Caenorhabditis elegans: one gene and its partner. The protein of the gene in region 1 interacts with the protein of each later gene in a pairwise test. Each region holds a gene or a part of one and is shown in the gene's direction. Other genes may lie near its edges.

The links.
Region 2: the proteins of tba-1 (region 1) and dnj-2 interact in a two-hybrid assay, tested with the Caenorhabditis elegans proteins (one large-scale study listed by BioGRID).

What each region holds. Positions count from the first base shown.
Region 1 is NC_003279.8:9,782,019-9,792,339, reverse strand, and holds tba-1 (Tubulin alpha chain), read left to right. Parts: upstream 1-4,715; coding exon 4,716-4,717; intron 4,718-4,949; coding exon 4,950-5,182; intron 5,183-5,232; coding exon 5,233-5,846; intron 5,847-5,891; coding exon 5,892-6,407; downstream 6,408-10,321. Other genes in the region: cox-5B (COX5B-domain-containing protein), read right to left, coding at 2,577-2,689, 2,741-2,840, 3,146-3,331; drsh-1 (Ribonuclease 3), read left to right, coding at 6,618-6,974, 7,025-7,344, 7,680-7,910, 7,957-8,179, 8,234-9,104, 9,512-10,321.
Region 2 is NC_003282.8:11,309,340-11,319,699, reverse strand, and holds dnj-2 (DnaJ homolog dnj-2), read left to right. Parts: upstream 1-5,719; 5' UTR 5,720-5,723; coding exon 5,724-5,841; intron 5,842-5,904; coding exon 5,905-6,118; intron 6,119-6,162; coding exon 6,163-6,361; intron 6,362-6,408; coding exon 6,409-6,506; intron 6,507-6,555; coding exon 6,556-6,754; intron 6,755-6,800; coding exon 6,801-6,986; 3' UTR 6,987-7,266; downstream 7,267-10,360. Other genes in the region: gspd-1 (Glucose-6-phosphate 1-dehydrogenase), read right to left, coding at 1-10, 64-240, 292-493, 546-683, 745-1,046, 1,105-1,357, 1,402-1,477, 1,894-2,100 and 1 more; pfd-4 (putative prefoldin subunit 4), read right to left, coding at 3,989-4,150, 4,224-4,355, 4,406-4,492; B0035.3 (Macro domain-containing protein), read left to right, coding at 4,733-4,778, 4,826-5,065, 5,113-5,234, 5,282-5,485; znf-207 (BED-type domain-containing protein), read right to left, coding at 7,364-7,540, 7,642-7,781, 7,834-8,148, 8,198-8,423, 8,481-8,607, 8,660-8,700.

The sequences.
Region 1 (10,321 bases):
TGAGATTATTTATGTTATCGTACTAAATGTATTCACAAATGGATATGATGACGTAGGAAGAGATCTAGAAGATTAGATGAGGGCGTTTTGGCATCAGGTGCCAATGAAAACGTATAAAAAAGTTTTATGTGTGTGAAGAGTGGAACGGAATTGAAGAGAAAGCTGCATTTGAAAAGAAAAATAAACGTTTTTTTTTTGTATAAATAGAGCAATTTCTTACTTTCTATATAGAAAACACAGAGAACTTTTGAATAGAAAGCAACGTTTCAAAGATGAATCATATTATGACGATTTCACCGAATTTATTTTCGCATAGCTAAACAAGGAAATATAAAGAATGATGAAGTGAACGGTGCATTATTTCAATTTTTGGATTACTGTTTCAGGAATTTTAAATTGAATAATGAATTTGAATAAAACTTTTAGACATATTTGATTTCATATTATACATTTTTCTAAATTTTTAGAATGATTTTTTCCGAAATTCCCTCGCATTAATCTATATTTTTAATATTTAATTTGAAACATTTTTTGCCAAATTTTCATCAATTTTCCGTGAGGGAAACTTGATAACCTGAAAGAAATTGAGATAAAAACAATAACATGGAATTTTTAATTTTCGAAACTAGGTGATTCATTTTTGCGGGAATTCGAAATTAATTCAACATTTTAATTTTTGCTAAATTAAAAAAGATTATTAGAAATATTTAGAAAAATTGTATTTTCAAAAAATTTGACAGTATTTACGATCCATTTTTTTTTTGTTAAAACACATTCCTCAACTTATATTACTTAATTAATTATTTAATCATTAAGGCAAGAGAAATTTGATAAAATTGGAAAAAAATCAATTTTTGAAGCTTGGAGGCTTTTATGGAAAATGTATGAAAAAGTAAAATTGTTTGGATCACCGAAACGGGCCATAACAACCGATTATCCAAGATTTCCGTTTCGGAAAACGAAGAAAATGTTAGAGAGTAGTTGAGCGAAACAAAAAAATGAGAGAAAGGTTTCCTTTTTTCTCAGCGTCTAGTAATTTTTCTCGTGGGGATTTTCGATACTCTATCGTTGTCAGAATAGTCAGACGACGAATAACAAGATGGCAAATTGACGTCACGTGGGGGGAAAGCTGATTCATTGTAAATTCTGTTACGATTAAATAAAAATCATATAAAATGGATATGAGTTTGAATAACACTAACTGAAAAAAACCCTAGTAGGAAAAAATAGTTCAAAGGAATTTCTTCACGATGAAAAAGAGTTCCAGTGCCAAAGCGAGTTCAGCAGGAGCTTTCTAACATCTCTACCCACCCTCTTCATCCTGTTACACTATTTCGTCTCACGGAGAATATTGATTTTGACGAGAAAGAGACGAAAAGATGCGCACACAGACACACGCACATGCGAGAAGGCTGTCAATGAGAAGAGAATCAACCCTCGAGACACACAAATACTGAGTTCCTACTGGTTTTGAACTTGTAACGCCGTTTTTTTTCTGAATTTTTGAGATGGCAATGGAGGGAGGGGTAATTTTAATTTGGCAGCAAGCTGCGCCATGGTTTGTCGCGAGAAAGCTCGTTTAGAGTTTATGAAGCGCAGGCGTCATAGAACACTGGCAAAAAATCTCCTAACTTTTGTTTTTAATTAAAATTAATTAATTTATGTTTTTTTTAATAAGAAACAATCTAAATATTACCTAGATTTGTTATTTATGTAAGTTCTATTAAAAGTTGAATTTGAACAAGAAAATTGGGCAAACACGAGTTTTCCCATTGACCACGAAACTCTGTTATCATTGAAAATCAGAATTTAAAAAAAAAGAAAATACGCAGAGAAACAGTCTGATTGGGTAAAGCGATAGTGGAACACGAGACCCGAAAAAATAACAAAATTCTAGTCTTTGAAACTTCAAAATAGGATGTTACAAATGTAAGGTTCTCGTCAAAATAGTACGGAAACTTGTTTTACGTAACTAGCGTCATGTTTTTAAATGATAAAATGAAAAAGGAAGTCACTAATGGTTCGAAAATTGGAAATGTTTTGAAGAAGTGAGTTATTACTTTTTGATGTAATGCTCAAGCCTGGGCTCTAAATGTATAAATTCGATCTACGACAACACGAAAGCTTAAAATTGTTGAAATGAAGGCAAACAATTGCCAATTTAAAAACAAAATTGTATGTGCTAGTGACAGCACGTGATTTTGAAAACCAATAACAAAATGAGAGGAGCGAGGCATCTGAACTCAGATTTTTATCAGCTAGATTCTGTGGAGGTTGACGGGAGAAACAGCATCATTGATTGTTGTTTCCACCTGTTTTGTTCATTTTTAACATTAACCACCTAATCCAGGAGATTGTCAGGGAAAACCTACGAAGAACATTTTTTCATGTAAGAAATGTAGGTTAAATTGATAAAAAATTAATTTACAGAAATAGGAGACATCTTGACGAAAAACAAAGAAACGAATTGAACCAACTCTAGAAACAGAATGGTTTGTCTTCAAACCAGCGCGTTTTATTTTCACTGATGGAGCGATCTAAAATAAGTCGGAACAATAATCTACATTGAAAATTGTTTAGATGGATTCTGGGTCGGCGTCGACTCCCTTGAACCAGTGTCCGCACTCGCATCTCTTTGGATCTCCTTTGCGAATTGTCATGAAATTGACATGTCCGGAATCTTGCTCACCTGAAAAATAGTTGTTTAATTGAATCAATCATGCTTTTAAATATAACTTACACATGCATCCAATGATTCTGAAGTCGTAGTGAGATGGGACCAAATTTGGCTTCTGCTTGGTGGAAGCCTCAGCGCGATAGTAGACTTTTGGCTCGTAACGCTGAAGAATGAAACTTTTATTATTTAACTTTGAAAAGATGAAGAAATAGTAGATAATTTGCCACTTTTACTAAATGGGTTTCATTTTGTAAACACTTTCTCATTAAAAACCAGTATTAGATACGATAACGACTCAAATTGCAAATCTCCCTCAGATCAGCTTCGACAAAGTTCGTTCAATACGACTCACACTTCAAGACAAAATCTCGAGAGCGAAGTAGCTCACAATTAGCTAAATTGATACATCATGGGGTATACTTTGGAAATTATTGGGAAAATTGTTAAATTTTATTAACAAAAACTCACATCATCTCCAGCAAGACGAGCGAGAAGCATCTTCTTTTCACGTCCGGTAGCGTGCTCAAGTGGATCTGGGTAGTATCCGTAGTCTTCTGGCGAGGCTTCAGTGGCCAAAGTACGACGGGCCACGGCAGCTGGAGCGACGAGCTTCTTCGAAAGGGCGGCAACAGCCGTCTTAGCAAGTTGAGCCATCTGAAAAATACAATTGTATTTCTCAAGTATCAAAAACGACTAAATATAAATTCGATTTCGAATGAAGAAAATTATCGATCGGGAGTCTAAAAATCAAAAAAGGAAGGTGGCCTTATTGAAATAGGGTTAAATTAAAAGATAAACCTCTTGAAAAATCAGAAATTTTTTGAAGAACACTTATATTCTGATTGGACCCTTGAAAATGCGAACAATAGCCGAAAAGAGCCAAAAACGCTTGGCACGATTTACGGAGCCTCAGTGGCGGGCGTACACTCGGCGTACACTCGGCATACACTACGCGCGTCTGTTGCAACGCACAAGACGCTCCTCAATACGAAACACCGTAATGCGAAGAGGATTTGAATTCGTTTCGTCCACTAGGCGCGCTCGGGAGAAATTTTCACTTTTTTTGGCGCGAAACAGACGACAATAGGATTGGGAGATGGCTGTCATTCTTTCTCATTTTTCGCTTCTCAATCGCTCGTATTCTCTCTCTTCGATTTGCTCCTAAAATGGAGTTGTTTGAAAGTTGACTCGTTGTCTACACATGCTGTAAATATTGAGCCACATTTTATTGTTTGTTAACAAATTTTCTTGATTATATTGCAACTTGTGTGTTCAATAGAATCTTTAGTTTTAGGGAATTCGTTTCTCCAGCGGCTAATAAAATCATTATAGATTTGCATTTCGGCTTCTACTTTAGTTACGTGCTATTGCTTGTGATGTTTTTAATTTTTATTTATTTTATCATAGCTTATTTACTGAAACTTAAACTTCGTTTTATTATTTTTTGCATTGAAATCTGAATCGTCCCGATGAATATTTGCATTTTCATGAATAGGACATCCAAGCGTCTATATCATGAACATCGGATTAAGGTTTAGTGGAGAACCTATTTCGCAATATACACCAGATGGCCACTACTAGTCATGTCCACCGAGGAATAGGGTCGCCGCTGTCCTTGGCCAATCGGACAAGCGTCGCTCGTTCCTCTCTCTGACCCGGCACTGCCTCTCTGACCAGTTTCATCCAAGTGACAGATGTCTAGAGCAAGGCAGAAAAGATTGTCGTCTTTAGTCTTCCAATTTGAGTTGTTTTACCCTTTCCTCGCACCAGAATATCTAATGACGAAGAGCTCTGTTTTCTTTCCCAGCCCGACTTTCATTTCTCATTTGACTAGATGCATAGAACCCAATAGGGTTTGACTGCTGTGTATGTACCACGATGCAATGGGCGTAATTGCTCTCTGTTTTCAACGGTCCGAGTCTTTTTCGCTATTTCGCAATACTCTTGAGAGCTAGCATTTCATATGTATGCAATTGGGTTTGTTTCATTTGGAGGCTCATAAATTTTATATCCCAAACCTTCTCCATCTCGTTAACTAATGTAAGTTCCTGGTTTTGTTTTTATTTACTTGTTGTAAACCTTGTACCAAGTTTATATCTGGTTTATTGCCCTGAAAACTATTCAGCCGGAATTGTCAACAGGATTATTTATAATTGAGTTGACCTTGTTTCCTAGTTGATCGACTCCTATGATTTTATCATTCGTACTTTACGCCATATGTTATCCGCGTTCATTTATGATTTCATTTCTTCTAATTTCCGTTAATTTTCAGGTTCGTTTTCAACATGCGTGAGGTCATCTCCATCCACGTCGGACAAGCCGGAGTCCAAATCGGTAATGCTTGCTGGGAGCTCTACTGTCTCGAGCATGGAATCCAGCCCGATGGAACTATGCCATCAGACCAACAAGCCGATGGAGAATCTTTCACCACCTTCTTCTCCGATACTGGAAACGGAAGATATGTTCCAAGATCGATTTTTGTAGATCTTGAGCCAACTGTTGTTGGTAAGCAATAATAAAAACCGTTTCAAATTCAAATTTGTTTTTTTTTTCAGATGAGATCCGCACTGGAACCTACAAGAAGCTGTTCCATCCAGAACAGATGATCACCGGAAAGGAAGATGCCGCCAACAACTACGCTCGTGGTCACTACACCGTCGGAAAGGAACTGATCGACACTGTTCTCGACAGAATCCGTCGCCTCGCTGACAACTGCAGTGGTCTTCAAGGATTCTTCGTCTTTCATTCATTCGGAGGAGGAACTGGATCTGGATTCACCTCATTGCTTATGGAGCGCCTCTCGGTTGACTATGGAAAGAAGTCGAAGCTGGAATTCTCCATCTACCCAGCCCCACAAGTCTCGACTGCCGTCGTTGAGCCATACAACTCTATACTGACGACTCACACCACCCTCGAGCACTCCGACTGTGCGTTCATGGTCGACAACGAGGCTATCTATGATATCTGCCGCAGAAACCTCAGCGTTGACCGTCCAAGTTACACCAACCTGAACCGCATCATCTCGCAGGTTGTGTCTTCCATCACCGCTTCCCTCCGTTTCGATGGAGCTCTCAATGTTGATCTCAATGAGTTCCAAACCAACTTGGTCCCATATCCAAGAATTCATTTCCCATTGGCTGCGTACACTCCACTGATCTCTGCTGACAAGGTATACATTTTTAATGTCAAATTGTTAAAAAAGTAATGATTTCAGGCTTACCATGAGGCTCTCTCTGTCAATGACATCACCAACAGTTGCTTCGAGCCAGCCAACCAAATGGTGAAGTGCGATCCACGCCACGGAAAGTACATGGCTGTTTGCCTCTTGTACAGAGGAGATGTCGTTCCAAAGGACGTCAACACTGCCATCGCCGCCATCAAGACCAAGAGAACCATTCAATTCGTTGACTGGTGCCCAACTGGATTCAAGGTCGGAATCAACTACCAGCCACCAACTGTTGTTCCAGGAGGAGATCTCGCCAAGGTACCACGTGCCGTATGTATGCTCTCCAACACCACCGCCATCGCTGAAGCCTGGTCTCGCTTGGACTACAAGTTCGATCTTATGTACGCCAAGCGCGCCTTCGTTCACTGGTACGTCGGAGAAGGAATGGAGGAGGGAGAGTTCACCGAGGCTCGTGAAGACTTGGCTGCTCTCGAAAAGGACTACGAAGAGGTCGGAGCTGACTCGAACGAGGGAGGAAACGAGGAGGAAGGAGAAGAGTATTAAACTCGTGCCGCCTGCTCCAATCTGCATAATACTGAACTCGCATCAATTTCTGCTTAATTCGCTTCTTTTTATTTTTTTCTAAATTTTGAATGAAAAGAGTTCCAATTTCTATGCTCATCGCTTGTGTTGTATACGATAAATTATTTCGAATCAATTACCATAGTTAACGTTTTCATCTGAAATTGTAGACAGATTTAGATTTTCATTTAGATGTCGGACGAAAAGATTTCAATGACGCTTAACTTCCCGAAACACAAGCGGGCTCGAAGAAAGAAATATCAGAAGGAGTATCAGGAACGTCACAAGGAAGAAATGATGCAGCAATTAGGAAGAAGATTTCAAAATCAACCATCAACTTCAAGTGCCCCACCTGATACTGTTGAAAAAATTCCATTGCCTACTGAATCAACGTCAGCATTGCCATTTGGAGATTCTCCAAGATTAACAGAAAAAGATTATGAGACGAATTATATGATAGATCCTCCAGTTGTTTCTACACATTCGGCAGAGCTTATAAAATCGAATAGAGTTGTTATAAAAGCAGAAGAAGCTGAAAAATATATGATGGTACGATTTAACCGTTTTCGTTTTTATAAAAATGTGGTTTTTTATTTCAGATCAAAGCTAAATCAACAACAAGTAAAATACTTCAAGATTTTCAAACTAAAATTCTGGAAACTGTTAAAACAAAACGTCGACTTCAAGCTGATGTTCCTTATATAATTCATCCATGTCATTCAATGAAAGGCCGGAAAACGCCAAAACAGAAAGGAGGAGACGAAAGTTTTACGGCATCTGATGTGTCTGATGACTCGAACGATTCTCAGGATGAAGCTTCTACTTCAGAGCCAACAAACAGACAAGCTCCTGAAGCGGACAAGACCGGAGAAGTAAAAGATGAGAAACAGACATGTAATCGGAGGAATCAACAGAGAAAGTATGCAGCTTCTCTAAAATACCCATGTTAATTTTTTAAGATAAACGCAAAAATTTCGATGTTTGCTGCAAAAATACCGTGTCTGGTCTCGACACGACAATTTCTTGTTGAATGCAATGTGCGCGCCTTTAGAGTACTGTACTTTCAAACTTGTGTTTTTGCAGAATTTTCATCGATTTTTCGATACAGATTTGTTTTTTTTTTTCAAACTGAAATGAAACATTAAATCACACATGATTTTGTGGGAAAACTATGAAAATTCAAAAATATCGGCTACCATATTTTTGGCACAAAAAAATGCTGCCTCTTGTAATTTTCAATTGTTCTTGTTTAAGAGCGAAAAGATTGCGGAATTTCGAAGAAAAGGAACGGCAAATCACACTTTTGAAAAAAGGAATTGATCGAAAGAAGACTCATCCAAATGGAATTCATCCGGATATCTCATTCAATGAAAAAGGTTTGGGAAACGAAGGACCAGAGTGTAGATGTCCAGAACCAATAAAAACTTGTGGCCTGAAACATGGATATTATGCAGGTGAAGATAAGGCTATAGATTGCAAGAAAAGGTAATTTTATTTTAGAATTTTAAAAATAAAAATGATTTTTTTTCAGCAATGGCGAAAACCTGCATTATTACACCCTTCGAGTCACACCTTTGCCAAGCGAAAATCAACTTTATAGAACACATATGGCAATAAATGGAGAGGAATTTGAATTTGAAGGATTCTCATTAATCACACATGCACCACTTCCGGATTGTATGACAAGAGCACCAATTTGTAAATATAGTATGGATTATGAATTTCAGTTGGTTGAAGAATTTATGCCTGATGAGGTGAGTGAAAAAATATTTCTTTTCAAAATATTAAATGTTAATTTTAAATTTCAGTGTTTCGACCCAGAAGATTGTGACATGCTGTTTGAGTATATATTTCATGAAATATTTGAAATGCTCGATTTTGAACTACGTCCGAAGCATATACCATCTGATGTTGAATCTTGTCCAATGATCCATATTATGCCGCGTTTTGTTCAAACAAAGGATGATCTTGTTCAACTTTGGTCTTCAAAAACAGTTCTTGCATATTTCACGAGCAAAGGAAGTTCAGAGATAATGAGCCCAGAAGATGTTAACCGCCTTTGTGATGCTCAAATTGATCAGTTCACTCGAAATACTTCGAAGCATAAGCAATCGATTGTTCTCAATACAAAATTCAAACCTTCTGCTATCAGAGCCGATTGGTTTGAGAGAGATGAAGAAAAGAAAGAAGTATATGTTGTACATAATGCGATCCGTGCACAGACATATACAGCAATTTCGCTTCCAAGAATCGCATTTCTCGAGAAAACATTAAATAAGATGATACAAGAGAAACAAAGCAGTGGTGTTTATAATAAAGATTTTGAGAAAACGAAGAACGAGCTGGAACATCTGAAAAGAGAGAATCGATCAGCTCGAAATCTGAAGCTTCGGGAGCCAGTAGCTGGATTCATTGAAACAGGATTGAAGCCTGATGTGGCAGCACATGTTGTCATGACAATACTTGCATGCCATCATATTCGATACAATTTTTCATTGGATGTATTTGAAGAAGTCATCGAATATAAATTCAACGATAGAAGAGTCATCGAATTAGCGTTAATGCATTCGTCGTTTAAAAGTCATTATGGTACTCCAATTGATCACGTCAAGAATATGATTACAAATTGTGGATATCGTCGAAAATACGGAGCAGAAGATAAGCGAGAAAAGAAACGAGGTTCGAGATTGAAACTAAAATTTTTAGATAAATTTAATTTTGTGTAACTTAAGAATATAAAATTTAGTATCATTCGTAAGGCGGCCTATCAGAAGTACAGTAACCAACTTCCAATTTTCGTTTTTTGTTCTTTCGGCAACTTTATTTTGTTATAAAAAACTAAACTGTCTCCCATGAAAATGAGGACATTATAGAAAAATTGTGAATTAGAAGAGAATGGGTTACTGTATTGCGCACACTTTTCGCGCTGCATTCATTTAAAACTATTTGTTTTTAGAGAAATAGTACAGTATTTTATGGTTAATTTTAAAATAGTTTAAAAATTTTGATTTATAAAATAATACTTTATTTTTTTAAAAAGCGTTCAAAAATTAAATATTTTATCATTATTCTAATCCCTTCCCTAGTTGCAGGAATAATGAGTCTGTTCAATATCATGAAAGGAACATCTGGTGGCGAGCCGATTCTTCACAATGAACGTCTTGAATATCTCGGAGATGCTGTTGTCGAACTGATCGTGTCACATCATCTTTATTTCATGCTCACACATCATTTCGAAGGAGGGCTGGCTACTTATAGAACTGCTCTTGTTCAAAATCGAAATCTGGCTACACTTGCAAAGAATTGTCGTATCGATGAAATGCTCCAATATTCTCATGGAGCAGATCTGATAAACGTCGCTGAATTCAAGCATGCACTGGCTAATGCTTTTGAAGCTGTGATGGCTGCAATATATCTCGATGGAGGATTAGCTCCCTGTGATGTGATATTCTCAAAAGCAATGTATGGACATCAGCCGGTGTTAAAAGAGAAATGGGATCACATTAATGAGCATGAACTTAAAAGAGAGGATCCTCAAGGAGACCGAGATCTTTCTTTTATAACTCCAACACTTTCAACTTTTCATGCTTTGGAAGAACGACTCGGAATTCAATTCAACAATATCCGACTTTTGGCAAAGGCATTCACTCGTAGAAATATTCCAAATAATGATTTAACAAAGGGACATAATCAACGACTTGAATGGCTTGGTGACTCGGTGCTTCAACTTATTGTATCCGATTTTCTTTATCGTCGCTTTCCATATCATCACGAAGGACATATGTCACTGCTACGAACAAGTTTAGTCAGTAATCAAACACAAGCTGTCGTCTGTGATGATCTTGGATTCACTGAATTTGTGATAAAAGCACCTTATAAAACACCAGAGTTGAAAC
Region 2 (10,360 bases), on another chromosome or scaffold:
TGGACCACGACTGAAAAATTGGATTACTGTATTTAATTTTAAAAAAAAAGAAACACAACCAACCTTCCAAATTTATATTGAACCGGTTGAACTTTCTTCTTTTTAAGCTCTTCGAGAACTGGCGTCAAAATACGCCAAGCGTATTCAAGCTCATCAGTTCGAACGAAATTAATTTGAGATCCCATGAATACTTCGAGAAATAGGCGTTCATAAGCATCAGGAAGACGGACTTCTTTGAATCTGAAATTATCACAATGAAATTTTTTTTGAAGAGAAATTTCAAAAACTAACCTATTATTATAAGTCAAATCAAGTTCAGTTTCTTCAACACCGAATCCCATTCCAGGTTTCTTGGTCATCAGTTTCATGTAAACTGCCTCATTTGGTTGCACTCTCATCACTAATTCGGATCGCTTTAATTCACCAGACGGATAGATATCTCCACTGACTTCTTTGAATTGTATACGAACTTCTGCTTTCTTCTCGTTGAGAGCTGCAATAATATTGAAATTTAAAAATTCGGTTTTTTTTTGTATATTCCCTACCTTTTCCACAACGCAAGAAGAATGGAACACCCTCCCAACGTTCATTATTGATGTGAACAACAGCAAGAGCATACGTTGGAGTAGTCGAATCGGCTGGAACTGATTTGTCATCTTTGTATCCTTGTGATGCTTCTGGGTCTAAAATTAATGTATTTAAAAATCAAAACTTTTATAAAATTGTAATTTTTGAAAAACTCACGATCAAATTCAGGACTGGCAATGTATTGTCCAACTACTACATCCTTTAATTCTACAACTTTAGCAGCTTTCAACACTTTGACCTTTTCATCACGAATATCTTCAGCATTCAAACTTGCTGGTTTCTCCATGGCGACTAAAGTTAGAATTTGCATCAAATGATTCTGCATAACATCACGGATAATTCCAGCTGTATCAAAATATCCAGCACGGCCACCAGTTCCAAAATCTTCTTTAAATGAGATCATAACTGATGCAATGTGATCGCGGTTCCAAGATGGAGCGAGAATTCGGTTTCCAAATCTGAAAGTTCAAAATAAAATTATAAATCTCTTCAAATACTTTGAAAAAACATTCTTACCGCATAACCATCAAATTCTGAACCATTTCTTTTCCGAGATAATGATCAATACGGTAGATTTGATCTTCTTTAAAAAGTTTCGCCAAATGAGTTGAAAGTTCACAAGATGATTTCAAATCATGTCCAAATGGTTTTTCTATGATAACACGTGTCCATGAATCACCATGATCCATACAATTCTTCTTTAATTCCGTAGAAACCACGTTGAAAACTGATGGAGGAAGAGCGAGGTAGTAGAGACGATTGACGGCTTCTATAAATTTGCTTAGATTGAGTGAAATTTAATTCTAAACCTACGATTATTGCTTTCTTTTTGGAAATCATCAATTGAAGATTGAAGGCGTTGGAATCCTTCAGAAGTGTCGTATTGGCCCTGAAAAAATGTCAATGGTGCTTTTTATGTTCAAAGTTTCTAGAAAAAAGCTTCGATTCAAATTTTTATTACCCAGTAACAAGATTTTGTGCGAAAAATACGGTAACCGGTCTCGACCCCACAATTTTTGTTGAATGCAAAAAAGTGCGCGCCTTTAAAGAGTACTGTAGTTTCAAGTTTTTGTTGGTTTTCGTAGTTTTCCTACCTGATTTGTAAAAAAAATGTATGTGTTGCAATTATTTTTTTTCAGTTTTAAAACAATTTTTTTAAAATCTGAAATCGACAAAAGCTTGAAGCTACAGTACTGTTTAAAGGTGATACGTTTTCGCATTTAACACAAATTTGTGGTGTCGAGACCGAGCACTGTATTTTTGGAACAAAGTTTCACGCCTATTTATTAGCAGATGTAGATTTACCTGAACGTATGAGCACTTCTTGATGAAGTCATCAAAAGCACATTTCTCATTTTCTCGAACTTTACAGTTTTTCTCAAAAGATTCACGAAGCTTGAAAACTGTCAGATCGGAACGGGCATATCCAATAAATTTGATGTTGACTGGCAAAAGGTTGTCACGGAACAACCACCACAGTGTTGGGTATATTTTCTTTTTTGCGAGATCTCCCTGAAAAAATGTTAAATAATTAATAATCGATATATATGGAATAGATGTCATACCGATGCTCCAAATATCACGAAAACGTACGGAGTCTCAAATTTGAGATCTCTTTGCATTGATTCACGAAGACACTCGACGAGATCCTTCGAAATGGGATCGGACACTGAATGACGTTTGCATGCCATTTCTGTAAATTTATAAACTAGATTTTGAAGTGAGAATGACGAACATTGATTCACAAAAATTACTCGTGTTGAGAGGTAAATAGTAGAAACTACAAGTTTCAAAGTAAACCATCTAGATACACATAAATGTTATTTAAAAGTGAGATTATTGTTTCATTTATACAACGAAAAATCAAAAAGAAATACGTTAATTGATATATTGATGTACTTCATAATGATTCTGCGCAATTCTTTTTTACTGGCAGAGTAATAAACTGCTTACTTTCAGCTAGTTACATTTAATGGAATAATGTTAATTTCTAGCACTAAAAAATGTAATTTTTCCTTTCGAATCATATACCTAGTAGCGAACCGCAGTCTACAATATAAATGAATTGGAACAACTGGAACAACACTATAAATCGGTCACTTTTTACTCCACTTCCATTTTTTTCACAGGGCAGCGAGAGAAGAAAGAAACAGTAAGAGAAAAGTGGATGCGCCAGTCTCTTTACAAACATGAAAATATTTACTGAAATCTTCTCGGGTCACAAAAAATGATGACTGAATGAAATTGTGTAGTGTGTGCGAGTGGTAACCATGACAAATAATGTTCTCTGGGCGACATTGATCGACAATGAAAAGAAACAATGTATTTCTCTAGGAAACATAAAAACTCGAGTAACTTGACTCTGGAGAAGAGACGAAACTTTGTAACTCTAGATTTAATCTATGGTTCTTGACTTTTAGTTGACCGACTAGGATATTCTGGAACACATTTTTTTTGGATTTTATCTGGAAGATGAATTCTTCGAAGACTTAGTCTATCAGAGAAAAAACTAATTTCGTTTTCAGAAAACAAATCAAAAATCACTGAACTTGAAAGTTTATCAATTTGATTAACGTCTGATCAGTTTACCAAATTAACAAGAAGACAAAGAAAAAGAAGAATGAAAACTGTTCTTTGCAACTCCTAAATAACTATGCATTTTCAACCATAAATTCTGCCAATCGGGTTTCATTTGGAAAACGGAGCACACGAATGGCCACATTTATTTGTGTCTCTGCCGATCATTTTTTTAGAAGGTGAAAAGTGCAAACAAAATATGAGGAGAAAAAAACGGAAAATGCTGACAAAACTTCGGAGGTGACAAAGAAAGAAACGGATAAAAAAGGTGAGAAAAGAAAGGGCAGACAAATTAAATGGACAGAAAGACAATCGGGAAAGAATGTTGCCAATTTGGGAATATAATTAATTTTCAAGTATTTTTTTAAAGAGAAATTGAATATTTTCTGTTAAATTCAAATATTTAGAATGCTACATTCTAGCCAGTCTATTGTGGAAATCATGATAAGATTGTCTGAAAGATAATGGATTTTTCCAAAATGCTATTATATTACGTGGGCGAGCGTCTCCTCTATAAATAAAGAGCAATGGGAAACAAAACATGTAAACTAAAATGAACACCAAACACGAAAAAACCTTCCTCTTCCCGTCCACTATATTGATATTTAGGATCTGGTGTGACCCACAAGTGGGTGGTGCCATTCGTGATAAGGAAAATCGGTCGAAAAAATTCATCAGCAAAATACGCGGAAACAGTGAACAGTGAGCACACGTTGTGAAAAAGGTGAGAAAAGCAATTTTTAAATTGAGATAATTTTTATATATGAAAGCTTCAACGGAAAAGATACAAAATCGAGCAAAATAAGAAATTAGAATTTATAGATTATTCTTCAGCGTCCAAATTGATCTGATCTCCGAATTTGGCGTACAAAACCTTCTTGATTTGCTCCATGTCCGCTGAGATTGCATCCAACTCGGAGGTTTTCTCAGACAAAACCTTCTCTGCTGTTGTCTTCTTTCCTTCCAAATGCTCATTCAGACTATCCTGAAAACCAATCACTACTTTCGTGTAAACCAAACGTTAATTCTCAATTCAAATTAAAAAAAAAACTGCTCACCCCATTGAAATGAACGAAGCAGCTTCCAATTCTGCATGGAATTGATGCTGAATCCTCATCATCGAGCAACAAAATTTCATCACTTGCTTCATTGATATTGTCAATGAGTGTTTTAGCTTCTTTAACGTCTGCCTGAAATTAAAGAAGAGAAACTTTAATGTAAAATTTAAAAAAAAACGTACTTTTAACTGGGTTTGTGTTTGGTATGACCGAGCGAATTTATTGAGAAGCGCTTGGTCTTCAGCAGAAACTTTCGTGTGTTCCGGCATTCTAAATTATTTTTAATTCAAAGATTTAATTAAAGAAACAACGAAGAAACAACATTAAAAGATATTAAACAGAAAATTCTGGAGAGAGAAACATAAAAATAAGAAAACTCAGCCACGGCCGCACGAAATTCTAGTCCATGTTGCGTGTAGTCCTCGTGAACAATTTCTTCCACGCGTTGTTTTATCCTAATTTGTTTTGTTTTTAAGTCACTATCAGTTCAAATTTAAGGCTGATAAAAAATGGCAGCAGCTAAAATTTCAGAAATTCCAACTCTCTTTGAAAAATGTAAGCTTCAGGCGTTTCATAATTCTAAAATAGTACACAATTTTCAGTCAAGGTTGCCAAAAACGTTCTGGGCCGTATCAGTGTCTGGGATGGAGATATTACTAAACTTTCCGTCGACGCAATTGTCAATGCAGCAAACAGTCGATTAGCTGGAGGTGGTGGCGTTGATGGTGCAATTCATCGTGCAGCTGGACGGAAGCAACTACAGGAAGAATGCCAGCAATACAACGGATGTGCTGTCGGAGATGCTGTCATTACCTCTGGATGCAATATTAATCACATCAAAAGTAAGTATTTATAGCATTGTTTGATCGTATTTTATTGGAATTTTCAGAAATAATCCACACAGTTGGTCCACAAGTATATGGAAATGTCACAGATGAACGGCGTGAAAATCTTGTTGCATGTTACAGAACATCACTAGATATTGCTATCGAGAACGGGATGAAGAGTATTGTAAGTGTTTCATCTGAAAAATAACTGCAAATATTATATATTTTCAGGCCTTCTGTTGCATTTCTACTGGTGTGTACGGTTATCCAAATGACGATGCCGCTAAAACCGTCACCAATTTCCTGACCGAGTATCTTGAAAAGAATGATACAATTGAACGGATTGTACTTGTTACATTCCTTGACATTGACAACGAGCATTACAATAAGTATTTCGGTGATTATGCTGCATCAAAGGATCAAAGTATCGCCTAAAACTTTCTATTGCACATTTACTGTACATGACTATTTTTATTTTATGTTGACTCCATAATCTCACTATCAGATCGGTTTTGATCCGTAATGTTTACATTGTTTCCGGTGTTGATTGCTTCATAAACATGTCACATTTCACCTATGATTATTTGTGTTTTTCTCTCATTTTCCGATTTTCGGTGATTCATATTTCAGTTCTCATTTTTAAATTTTTTCTCAATCTTTGTTTTTCAGCAGAATGCGCTCAGCAATTGCGGCGCCCATCTTGTTCTTACTAGTATCATTTTTCGTCCAGGAATGTGAATCGGTCGGATTTGCTCCAGAGCTCTATTGTGGATTAGAAAACTGTTATGATGGTGAGTCAAAACTTTCATGAAGATCTGAAAACGTTAAAACTATAAATGCATTCATATTTACAGTACTCGAAGTCAATCGTGAGGAATTCGATAAGCAGAAGCTAGCTAAAGCATATAGAGCTCTGGCTAGGAAGCATCATCCAGATAGAGTCAAGAATAAGGAAGAGAAGCTTCTCGCCGAAGAACGTTTCCGAGTAATTGCCACTGCTTATGAAACACTTAAGGATGATGAAGCAAAAACTAATTACGACTATTATCTCGATCATCCTGATCAAAGGTATGACGCTCTGAATATGAACACTTAAATATTCTTTATTTAAGATTCTACAATTACTATCAATATTATCGTCTTCGCGCCGCTCCAAAAGTAGATCTTCGAATTGTCATTGTTGGAACTATTCTTATCATTTCACTCTTCCAATTCCTCTCTGCAAAACACAAGTTCTCAGAAGCAATCGAATATGCAACCGGTGTTGGAAAATTCCGCAATATGGCAATTAAAGATGGAATTGATAAAGGCGTAGGTCGATTTTTAAGCTTGCACTGTAATTAATATCTAGCTTTCAGTTGCTGGAAATGGATCGGAATGGAAAATTAAAAAAGAACAAAGGAGTTGACAATGATGAAGTTATCAAGCAAATAATTATTGATAATCTTGATGTCACGTCAGTTATTCTTGAGATTTTTCGTAAAATAATTTGAGCTACATTTTAGGGGTGGCTACAAACGAGAATCCATCTACGATACTCTCGCATGGCACACAATTATTTTCCCATTAACGATATTCCGATACATTAAATGGACAGCACTTTGGTATTGGAGATTTGCAATTCAAAAGGAGGAATATGATGATGACGCCAAGCTTTATCTCATTAGAAAGTACATTGGAGTTTCACAAATGGAATTCGATCAGGTAAATACTTTTTTCTATCATCAAAAGTTAATAATTTAATTTTCAGAAGTACACTGATGAAGACATTGATGATCTTTTTGAACGAGAATGCTGGCTGAAACGAAACTGTGCAACGTGGAAAGCCGAACGAGACGCTGCGGAACAAGAAAAAATGGCTCAATCGGGTCGGTACAAAAGGTATAAGAGATATATGAAAAACGCGGGAACTATTTCGTTTGTCGATGAAGATTAAATATTTACTAAAAATTACTTATTGCATTTTATAACTCGTTCTTTCTAAATTATTATTCCTTTATGCAGCTGTTTTATCATCAAATTTTTATAGCATTTCATGTTTTCACTTAACTCGAATGTTTCTCCGAGTTTGCGAGCATAATCTACTTCTTTCTTACCAATATTGATGTTTTTTCTTCATTTTCAATCTTTTTTTACTGTGGGTGATAATTTATTCAATTGATAAAAATTGCTTTTTTTTTTTGGAATTTCAAAAATAAAAACCCATCGATGGATTATTCAATAATTTAACATGGACGAGAGGACAATTTTCAGTAAAACACAGAATATAAGGTAAATGGGCGGGACATGAAAGAAGAAGAGATTCGGAAGTGCTCAGTGATAGGGATTGCTGCGTTTTTCGAAGAGCATTTTTACACGACGCTCCTCTAGAGACAGCGAATGATCATCTGGATAGACTATTCTTGTCCTCGAGCCAAGTTTAGATGCAACTACTGCCGCAGCAGAAGCGGCAGCTGCACCAGAAGACGTAGTTGGTGGACCGTTGTTAGGCTTAAAATATTAAAATTAAAAACAAGTTTTATTTAACTTTATTTTATGAAATATCAATAAAGCTCGATCGAAATCCCATTATTTGAAATCAAGGAATATACCTCGACGATTTCCTCCTTTAGTTCAGCTTTCACTTGATCAAATCGGCTACCTCCCGGTGGACCTCCACGATCACCTTCTCTAAACCGATCATCGTATCCTCCTTGATTGTAGTCATCTGGAGCTTGATAATCTTGATGTTCTGAAATTTATTAGCTTGCTAAATCAAGCTTTTACGAATGCCATAAACTCACCATGCTCGTTTTCATATGGTGGCGTCCGTGGTACTCCTCGCATTGGTGGACCCCACCTGTCTCCGCCGTCAGGTTGATCAAATCGGCTTCTTTGAGGAGGACCAGGCATGGGTGGGCCACCAGGTGGTCCATGACCTATTGGCATACGTGGTGGAGGATATGCACCAGGCATTCCTGGCGGAGGCATATACACGCCAGGAGCTGGCGCTGGAGGGTATCCACGTGGCGGAGGATAAGCTCCTGGCATCCCGCGAGGTGGCATCATACCAGATGGCATTGGAGGCATTCCGTATGCCATTGACGGTGGTGGTGGACCTAAAAAATCAACCGTTTTTAGAATGGAACTTAAATATGTTTTCCGCACCCGACGGCATAGGAGGCATTCCAGGAAATGGGAAATGCTGTGGGAAAGGCATAGGAGTTGGCATAGGTGGTCCATTGTCCATCCTTGATCGTTTTTCGTCCGGTTCTTCGTCAGCTGCTCCACGATAAGCGCCAGACGGAATTCCTTGCATTCCGTAAATTTCAACGTGGATATTATCTCTGCCATGTACAGCTGCCGGTATTTTGTCTATAGTTTCTTTATGTACCTGTAATTCGTGGGATTACCGAATGACTTCTTTTTTCAAGAACAAAAAAAAATTAACCTGCATGCAGTGAATCGATAATCCTGGACCACTGAACAATTTTTTGTGACAAATATGACATTTGAAATGTTTGGCTTTTTGATGTTGTATCAGAATCTTTTCATCGTCAAATTCTCGGTTACAATACCTAAATTGAATAGTTTAACTTCAAGAACAGTACAATTATTTTAAAAACTCACCAGCACCATGGTTTATCGACCTTCTTCTTCTTTCTACCCATTTCTGATGGAGAATCTACGTATTTATATCTGAAATAGGAAGAAAAGAATAATTCAACTAATTTTAAAACTCGATTAGGAGAAAAATGTAAAAACCAGTTAAAATATTTCTTCGAAAGGAACGCATGCGCACAAGAAAATTCAATTTTGCAGAGTCCCGCACGAATTATGGGGAGGAGTTACACGCCCTCTGCAAGCCCGCCGCGCACTTTTCCTCTTATTTTACTGCCGTTGTTAACGGTTACCATGGTTTGCAAATAGCTTGTCTGAATCGAAACAAAGAGACATTTTTCAAATTTATTACAATAAATGGAGGAATGAAAAGGGGAAATGTACAATTTTGAAACGTATACCACAGAATTAGAAAAAAAAAACTGACTGTTCAATCAGATATATACTTAACAATTGCAATTGCATATGTACAAATCGTTTGGATATTTTTTAAAGTCGTAATGATTCTTCTAGTTTCTATAACTTTATGAAGTCGAGTGAAATAAATCCGATCGATAATTCGAATTTATTGTTTAGAAGTTTTATGTAAGTTGTCATTAAAATGCCCGTGGAGCTACCGTAACCTATATTTGAGTAACACAAAAAAGTTACTTTTATTATTATGACGGCATCCTTGAAGGTATTCTATAATAGTATTGCACATCAAACACTTTAAAAAATTAATTTTGAATTAAGTTGTTACAAAAGGACACACATAACTATTTAAAAACGCATATTTCAGCATTTTGTGCTCTTAATAATTTTGCAATTGTTTTTCAGGAACTTACAAAACTTTTGGAATTGTCGTTTTTTTGTAACAATTTAATTTTTTCTAATCAACTTTTTTGAAATGTTACTTATTCAAAAGTGGAATATTAACAATTTTGAAACACACAGTTTTCACCAATCATTTTTTGATAAAAAAAAATGGTTTCTTCCAATTTTATTTTTAAATTGTTCATATTCCATTGAAATAAAAGTTAAAATGCTTCCAAAAATATTGAAAAGTGCCAAAACGATATAGTATCGTACATTGCTAACCTTTCAATAAAGTTTGCAGAAAAAAATAAAGTGACGATAATTCAGATTTTGCCACTCATAATTTGGATATCACCCTACAAAATAAAACTACAATTTTCCCATTCTAATTATTTTCAAATTATTTATATATTCAGAAAAAGCAATTTACCGAAACTTTGTCCAAATTTTTTTTTGAAAATCTAAAACATTTCAAAGTGCTATACTGTTCATTTATGAGTATTATAGTTTCATTCAGACAAAATCTATTAAATAGTTATTTACCTCCAATTTATGAAATACGGTATTCGTATTTTCTTTTTTTCATACTATTTTTTCTGGCCACCCGTCACCTTGCTTCTTCTTCTTCTTTTCTTCTTTAGCTTTTTTCCATATTGTATCGTACCCCTCAATTTTCCTGCCACTTCGCATATAAATCTGTCCTTTTTGTTCCCTTCGATTCGGCAGTCATCATCGTTCATCTGGTCCTCCGTTCCTCTCTTCTTCCGTCCTTTTCGTCCCCACTCCCCGTTCACGAGCACATTATCTTCCGAAAAGTAGGCGGAGCCAGTCGGTTCGGCGCCCTTTTCTCATCCACCTGTTTCTCAGTGTCTCTTAGTTATTACACTATTACACATGGCGCCAATAAAAGGA